Bombyx mori: one gene and its partner. The main gene of each other region encodes a partner of the protein of the gene in region 2 in a complex. Links are inferred from orthologs where the notes say so. Each region holds a gene or a part of one and is shown on either strand. Other genes may lie near its edges.

The links. Proteins that work in one complex are often made in the same cells at the same time.
Region 1: telomerase Cajal body protein 1 homolog (region 2) and H/ACA ribonucleoprotein complex subunit 3 share a complex: the UniProt entries of both Homo sapiens proteins name them as parts of the telomerase holoenzyme complex. The link is inferred for Bombyx mori from reciprocal best matches to the Homo sapiens genes WRAP53 and NOP10.

Annotation. Positions count from the first base shown.
Region 1 is NC_085131.1:8,622,891-8,626,909, reverse strand, and holds H/ACA ribonucleoprotein complex subunit 3, read right to left. Parts: upstream 2,346-4,019; 5' UTR 2,213-2,345; coding exon 2,159-2,212; intron 2,089-2,158; coding exon 2,046-2,088; intron 1,476-2,045; coding exon 1,378-1,475; 3' UTR 946-1,377; downstream 1-945. UniProt on the Homo sapiens protein: Required for ribosome biogenesis and telomere maintenance. Part of the H/ACA small nucleolar ribonucleoprotein (H/ACA snoRNP) complex, which catalyzes pseudouridylation of rRNA.
Region 2 is NC_085124.1:10,449,847-10,454,957, forward strand, and holds the start of telomerase Cajal body protein 1 homolog, read left to right. Parts: upstream 1-1,730; 5' UTR 1,731-1,867; coding exon 1,868-2,304; intron 2,305-2,921; coding exon 2,922-3,110; intron 3,111-3,458; coding exon 3,459-3,619; intron 3,620-5,093; coding exon 5,094-5,111. UniProt on the Homo sapiens protein: RNA chaperone that plays a key role in telomere maintenance and RNA localization to Cajal bodies. Specifically recognizes and binds the Cajal body box (CAB box) present in both small Cajal body RNAs (scaRNAs) and telomerase RNA template component (TERC).

The DNA.
Region 1 (4,019 bases), on a different chromosome or scaffold from region 2:
CTAGGAATAATTCCGTGTCGCTTGCTCATTTATTTTGCGTCTATCGGTCTGTCTCGCTCGCTCTGTTCCGTTCATGTATTAAGCAACATTACACGACAAAGAAAGAAACATGTTGGGTGATAGTGTGATGTTTGTTTCCTTCGCGTAATGTGTGATGTTGCATTACATCGTAGAGTAATATTACCCGAGTAATATCACTCGCATTACTTACACATGTCTACACAATACGACCCGAGGCACGATAAAGTGATTCTCTTGCAAGACAATGATGCTCGGGCATACCTTGCGAAAACCGTTAAAATACTTGAAAACATTCAGATGAGATGCCATACCCTACCCGCCATATACTCCAGATGTTATGTCATCTGATTATTAGGTATCTCTTTGAAGGTCTGACTGACTAGCAGTTCTCATATGCCCTGCCCTGGTGAAACTGGAAAGGCCTACAGGGCACCAGTAATCCTTCAATCATATAAAAAATGCACACATCAAAGGGTAACTAAATCCGTGGATAGCCTCAGAAGTCAAACTCTATCATCAAGGAAATCTACTAAAATTAATTGTAATGCCATTATTAGACACTACACTTTATTCAACTTGTCCAAATACTAAAGGGAGTTGTGGCACATTGCTGTGTTCTTGTGAACATATTTAGCAGATGGTTTACTGGATGTTTAGCTAGAGATAAACTTCAGAAATACTGCCTACATAATCACTTTTTAGTAACCAAGATATATTTTTTCAGATTGAGTATATTCACTGTATAAAATTTCCTGGCACAGCCATGGCCATTTTTATCTGAGGCAGATACTGTAACACATGCTAATACTCTCCAGGTTAGAGCCCATTTATCAGTCATGGCTCGATTGTCCATGAAGGAAATTGGTGTATATACGGAACTATCAAGACTTGCTTTATAGTAGCTATAAATAATAAAAGCACACATAACATTACGACTATATTACAACATATATTTTGAAACTGCATTCATTTTACATAATCATAAGAAGAGATATTGTAATAAAAAATAAATTATATTAAATTTATAGCCTGGTTATCCTTTACATACTTCTCGACACACTGTGGAGAGTGAGATGAGTACTGCCACCATGACTTGGAATGATGTCAAGGAGCAAGGTCAAATGGAGAAAACTTGTAAGGGCCCTATGTACCAGTGGGGTAGCCTAGGATTACCACAATCAGATGAAAATCATTAGAAAAAGGAAGAGCAAGTCATAATAAAGTAATATATTTTGTAAGACCATTTGTGTTCTGTTGTATGCTAAATCCTGTGTGCCTTAGATTTTGAAAAGAATTGTTAAAATGTATCAAAATTTAGACCATTTTGGTAATTTTCAATACAAATCAATATTTATTTTAATGAATAGGTTCAGGTTGTTGTGTAAGCAGCAGGCCAAATCTCTTCTTGATTATTATTCTGTGTCTTGAGTATTTGTCTTCAGGAGAAAAACGAGCTGCAATAAAAACAATTGGATTATTGAAGTAAATTAGCCTGTTATTTTGTAGATGTGAGATTGTTTTTTGCTTTTTTTTAAATTTGATTTCATTAGCATATATCAGATGGAATCTCCAATTGTAATTTTCACCATCTTCAATAATTAATACATGATAAGATTGTGAGATTCAGGGATAACGTCTAACATGATTTTTTAGGATAAGAGGATGATTTTTGGCCGAAAACCTTTCAAGGCTTGTCAAGGTGGTTGTTATCCAACGTAAACAATCAGTTTCGATGGTTGACAAAAATGACATTATATTAAAAGCAGTCAATAATTTTATTACTTTGGCCTAATAAATACCAGTACAGGATAAAAGATAATTGAAGCAAATTGTTTTTAGTTCATAAACCATATTATTGTCTTAGTCTTCTATATTAACTAGATTAAATATATCTCAAGCATTTACAGCTTATTTCCACTATAAAACACTGTTATGCATTACCTATTAGGAAAACATACATAACCTTCTAACTTTTGAAAACAACGATTAATCACTAATAAACCATACTTGATGATGTTATTTACCTGGATGTGCTGACAATGTTGGTTTTCCAAATGGGTCGATGGTCTGAGAAAGTAAAAAGATTATTGATAGAATAATTAAACACATGTTGACGAGGTTACAGTACAATACTTACCGCTAATGTGTACTCTCTATCGCCTTTATCGTTTAAGTAATACCTGAGATACATTTTAATGTTATTAAAAATGCAAATAACAAAAACTACAACTAATTTAGCGCTATTTTATTTGTATGTGGTAATCCAGTAATTCCTCGTGTTTACTGTTCAGTGTTTTTGTGTCTCAAATATATTAAGTGTATAATCTATGTTTTTTTTTTTTTTTTTTTTCCCTACCTAAGCTGATAGCCCTAGCGGCTATTTCAGCGTAGCCTTAACTTTAGTAGGTGAGCTCACGGGGCTCAAACCTGACGATGTTGCTAACACGAACCCTAGCAAGAGTCGTGCTTCGCAGAATCTACCACCGGATCGGAAACGCGACCCACTGAGAAGATCCGGCGAGAAACTCAGTGGGCTGTGTCTGAGAGTTAATTTACTCGTCGAGCCCTTCGTCGCAAGCGACGGGTTCGACGAGAACGGTGACCGGTGGAATCTATGTTTTTGTGTCTTTGAGTTTATATAAATGACAAATGTATAATCTATGTTTAAACCACAGAGTAGGACAATTGACCATAATTTACCATAAAATCAGGGTGAATGAAGTTAGCCCCTCAAAAAAAATTTTTTTTCCTGTTTTCTACTTATTTTCTATTAATTCGTTTGTTCATCATTTGTTCTTGATTGTTCATTGTTAATAATTGTTTGTTCCCCATTTATTTATTTTAAAAAATATATTAAAAATATATCTAAAAGTTAGCCCCTCGATTGCAATTTTTAAAATTTTTTCGTCCTTAATTACTCGTAAATATTCATTTTCGATTGTTCTTATATAAAATACGTTTGTTCTCTTTCGAAATTACTCATTTTTTGTTTAATTAATTGTATTAGTTGAATAAATGTATACAAAATATGTGTACTGCGCATGCCATAAGTGTATAATCTATGGCGCATGCGTCAACTATAATGCCTAAACTTTCTACGCGGTTTTAATCGTGAAAAAAAAAACAATTATAAATCCTGAAGGATCGATTAATTGGTATACAGTTTAATTAAAAAAATTAAAAAATAAATAAATAAAATAATGTGCATTCGCGTAAAGTTAGACCAAATACATTTTTTCCATCCTCCTATATACCTATCGCTATGAAGATATAAAAAAGATAGGTTAAGAGTTCACATAGGTAATATAAACAAATAAGTAAATATGTTTATTATTTATCTTTCAAGAGATAATGTAGGTATACATTATAATAACATTTTGACACAGTCGAAATTATATTCCTAACATTAGTAATATAACATTTTAATATTTTTTTTATAGGTTATGTATTGAAATTGTTGGAAAATTATTTCATGTTTTAGCTGGAAAACTACATGGAGAATTATATGCAATACAAGATAATGAGCTCCATTAAATGAATTCGAATGAAACCAAACTGTTTACCATCCAAATTCGATTGTCGGGCAGATAGAAAACGAAAATTCACTCATAGTGAACCTCGGCCTGCATTTGTGAAACGGCAAAGACTCACTATTATCAAGGAAATTGAAGAGACGACTAAAAATGAGATGTGTCGTATTATTATACCTTTGCCATCTTGTAGTCAAGGTAGGTGTAACTGTCAATAATTAGTTACACTCACAGATCTCCTAATCAAATAACAATATCAGAAAAAATGAGAATAGTTAGTTAGTTAGTGGAAGTAGCCAAAATGGGCAAGTGGATCTCAGTTCCTATTACATAAGGTACTAGGAAGTTTGTGAAAATGAAAATTTATCACAGTGTAATATCACTTACTTACTTTAACAGTGAAGGAAAACATTGTGATGAAACCTGCACACCTAAATGTTCTTAGGATTTTCTTAGGTGTGTAATCCA
Region 2 (5,111 bases):
TTGATCAATGATCTAGCAGGCAGTAGCAATTGTTAATTAGTTATGTCGTTAATAATAAATTACAATTTGTAATAACGTCTTACGACCAACTTATAGCAAAATACACAACCAGTTTTCACAAATAATTAAATATACTAAAACAGAAGAGAATCCCTGCGATATTTAGGTTTTATTTTATTGCGAACTTTATCACATAAAAGTAAGTATTTTTGTTCGTTTCCGCTATTTATAGACACAATTAAAATTACTTTTACGATGTAATCTCACGTTTTTTACTGACATTAAATATACGACATTTAATTTTTGAATACTTTACAGTTTTCATGGTCACTGACGATATTTTAATGATGATGTTTTCTTGATTACGATCTTGATGATGACAATAAAAACCGCGAGATTATACCTTAACAGTAGTTTTAATTACTTAAAAATGTTCTTAAAGTTTTTAAACTTATATTATCAAAAGATTAGAACTATTTTTCATATGTTTACTGTACGAGTAATCACTGAAAATACTTTATAAAAATATATTTCACTTTCATCAATGTACTAATTTGATCAATAATGAATAAAGGTTATACCTACCGTCCTTGAACGAAGATAATAAAAATTGCGAGATAATATACTTTCCAAAGTAACTTTTTTGACTGCATTTCAGTTAATTTATTTTGAATTAATTGAAGCGTGACGTGTACAACCATTGAGTGAATTTTGATGATATTTTAAAATAAAACAAGCCACGCCACAGCGCCTTTAGTTGTGTGAGATCTGAATTTAAATACATAAAACATATAATAAAATCTCCGTGCTAACCTGCCTGAGAGACTTTGCTAACATCTACTGTAGCAAGAGTAGTGCTTTATTGAATTTATTGCCGGATCAGAATCGCGACCTACTGATAAGATCCGGTGAGAAACTCAAGGGTTGTGTCTGTGGGTTAATGTATAGTTGTGGTGTCACGGCGGAGCACACGTTCGCATACTGCCCCGCTTTCGCGAAGCAGCGCCGCACCCTCGTTGCAAAAATAGGTCCGGACTATGTGCGGCAGCGACGAGCCCTGGCAGGCGATGCTCGACTTCTGTGAGTCCACCATCATGCAGAAGGAGGCGGCGGAACGGGGAGAGAGAGCTCTTCTTTCCTCTCGGCGCCGGGCCACCGCCACCGAGCCGGGAATTGGAGGAGGGTGTTCGTCCAGCTCCAACCCCTGTGAAGAAGCAGTCTCCTCCCGGTGATGTTCACGGGGCGACCTGAGGTAGTCGAGGTTGCGCCACACGCTATTGTCACTGTAGCGTGCTGGCATGTGACGACGCATCTTCGGAAGCGGTCCGCGATGCGGTCCGCATTGCCGTCGTCGCTGTCGTCGTCGAACATACTGTGGAAGAGCAACCGTATAAGGGGCAGGGGAGTCGTTTAGTGCGGTAGGGTCCTTAAATAATTTTGGACCTACGGTCTGCTTCCAACATCTGCAGATCGTCAAGTCTCATATACCCTGCGTGCCCCCTAGGCGGGGGAACCTCATGGGAGGTTCAGCCCCCGGCCCCAAAAAAAAATTATGTTGTTATGTATGTACGACCGTTCTTGTGATTGATCATTCCCGATCTCGAGATTATATTTCATCCCATATCATCTCATTTCATTTCATTTCACTCCATATAATTATCATTTTTCATAAAAATAAGAATATTATAAATTAATATAAGACATGACCTAAAGATCTTAGTTACCAGGTCATAAAATCCCTTAAAAAAAAGTAAGGCGGTAAGGTCGATTGACGAACGACGATTTTGTTTTTATTTTGAAACCGTGAGCGGAATAATTGTCAATTTGTTATACATAATCACAAATTGTGTTGTGATCTACCTTTATTATGGAAAATTGGTCAATGGAGACACCATCAAGAATAAACGCTGAAAATATACCTCAAACCATAACTCAAAATCCGAGTGAACTTACATTGGGTTCGGCGTGTACAGAAAACGCTTTTCAATATCCAGCATTATTTACAAGCAAAAGCTTTCTTGAATTGTCCACTTGCTCGTGGTCAAGGGGTCGTAATGCTAATGAGAATATACAGCCTTATTTACGTGGATGTAAGTGGTCCCCAGATGGAACCTGTTGCTTAAGTGTTGTCAATAACGATGGTGTTCATGTTACCGAGCTTCCTAGTGAATTGTACCAGGGCGTTGTTTGTGGCGATCGTATAATCGATGTCTTAGAATCAGTGATACATTTAAAAGAAACAGGTTCAGTTTACGACTTCTGTTGGTACCCATTCATGAACAGCACAAATCCCCCTTCCTGTTGGTGAGTGAGATTTAAAACTCAATATTTGGTCTACAATGGAATTGATGTAAATATAAAATATCGTTACTTAAATATCAACCAATCTAAAAATTAAAAAAATGCTCAGTGCCTTATGACAAAGGTGTACAACCAATGTGTTTTACCAGTGATGACGTACGGTTCTGAGATATGGTGTTTCACAAGGGAACTTTTTAAGAAGCTTAGTGTCACACAGCAACCTATAGAGAGGGCTATGTTTGGTATTTCTTTATGAGATCGAATCAGAAATGAGGAGATCCATAGAAGAGCCAAACTTGTTACATAGCCCTAGGATTAGCAAGCTGAAGCGGCAGTGGGAATGCCATATAGTACGAAGATTGACAGCCGATGGGGCAGAAAAATCCTTAAATGGAGACCACGTACTGTCAAGTGCAGTGTGCCGTGTACCAGATGGGCTGATGACATAGTGGACATCAGTAGGAGAGGCCTATGTTCAGCAGTGGACAGGCTGAGATTATGATAAAATATCAATTTTAGTTTGTCAGTAAACATAATTTCTCTTCCTTTAAAATAAGGAGCTGAAATAGATTTCTTAAGAAATGCCTAACTTTCATGTAACTCAATAATTTTATTGACAGCTGGTTAACAACAAAACAAAATTCTCCCATACAAATGTGGGATGCATTTGATGGATCACTCAGATGTTCATACAGAGGATTCAATGCAGTAGATGAAATGGAACCAGCTTTATCAGTTAGCTTTACCTCAGATGGTAGAAAAATCATTGCTGGCTATAAGAAGCATTTAAGAATTTTTGATGTTGAGCGGTAATTCTTCATTATCAAATTTATCTTAAAACTTTAATTTCATGCTCAGTGTGGGTATTTAAGCAAAGCTTAGACTTGCTAATAACTACTTTATATCAAGGCAGGAAGCTTTTATCGTATCTATACTAATATAAAGAGAATTTGTTGTATGGAAGTAAAATCTTTTAATATACTCATTAAGTTAGTAATGTGCTCAAGATAGACAATTTTTTTATTTCTTTGATTGGTATACAACTAGGTTTTAAGTGATTACTAGAGCTCATAGACTTCAACAACATAATTGTTGCAATCCTGCCTGAGTTCTAGGTCTATTTTATTTGCTTGTATATTAATCAGTAAATTTTTTAGGCCTGGCAGAGAATTTACTGAGCAAAAGATTTCTAGTTCAGCATCTAGCATTTCAACACAAAATAACTTAGTTGCTGTTGGTTCTTGGAATACAACAATAACTTTGTATAATGAATCAGAAATTGGTACTAAGAAAATTGGGGACATGTATGGACATGGAGGTAAATAGCACTGAATAATTGGTGTAACGTTTGTTACATATTGTTATATATATACCCAATACCTATATATACCTAATCCAGCCATAAGTTCTGTTTCAAATGAAAATGTTTTTTTTTTAATGAAGTAAAAAGAAATGAAGTCAGCAAAAAATAAAGAAAAATATTCTACTTGAAATGGCCACCTTTGGCTTTTATACAGGCCTTTAATCTGTTTGGCCATGAAACTATGAATTTGCGCACTGTTTCCAAGGGAAATTTCACTGCTTGCTCCAAAGGTTTTTTAAGACTCAATGTCGCTGTATCGCTTAGAGCAGGCCATGTTCTCTAAAACTGACCATAATTTCAAGTCTAATGGTTGAGGTCTGGGCTCGGTGAGGCTGGACTTCAGCTCTTACAAAGTCTGGAACATTGGTTTCAAGCCAGGCTTGGGTAGTTCCTGCCTTGTGACCAGGTGCAGAGACATGCGGGCCAGTCCACAGTATATTTTTAAAAAGTGTATTGCTGAGAGGTTTTACAGCATAATCCAAGACATGGATACATGGACAATGATACACATTGACTGAAGTTTTCACTTTCTTTTTCACAAAAATATAGCTTGTGATTCCTTGATAAGACACGCCCCACCAAACCATCACTGATGCAGGATGATGACCACTTTGTACCTTTCCTACCATTTCAGCAGCTTCTTTAGAACTGTGAGTGTACACTTTATCATTTTGTTTATTGCAGTGTTCTTCAATAGTGAAATTTTTTTCATCAGTAAAGAGAATATTTCTGTGCCTTTCACCTGCATATCGCATCAAAAGGCATTTTCATTTATCCAATCACTTTAATTATAAAGATTGATTTAGGGTATATCCTGCGAGCTTCAGGTCTTGTTTTATAATACGCGACAGAGTCCTATCGGGAATCTTCATTTCTCGCTATAAGATATTTTGCTGCCTAATTCGACGGATTCTGGCTTTAACAGCATTAAGCCTTTGTAGTTGTAACAGGACGCGGCTGCACCGATCTTTTCTGGTCTTCGACAGACGAAGTGTTGTTTTATCTGTTGATAGTTCGATGTACCAACATAATGGCTGATACCTAGCATTTGAAGTGTCTGGAATATGACCGACGGCTCAATACCCACTTTGCGCAAGGCGATCACTGCAATCCTATTTTCCTTAACACCACATTCCTTTGTCATTTGATAATGAACACGAAAAAATATCTGAAATGGCGCAAAATCGAAAGAAGTTTTTAAAATAATATACATGTTCCAAATACAAAATAATTAAAAAGTTGAAAAAAAAGAAAAGTTTTTATGTAACAGTATTTATGGCCAGACTAAGTTATATAATAATATATAGCACAACAAGTATATATTTTTATCAGAAACCTTAAATCCTTTAAGTGCATTCATAATCATTTAGCATATTCATGAATATTCATTTGGCTTTGCGAAATGTTTTGATTTTTTCTATTGCTTCAGGTGGAGTAACGCACATGA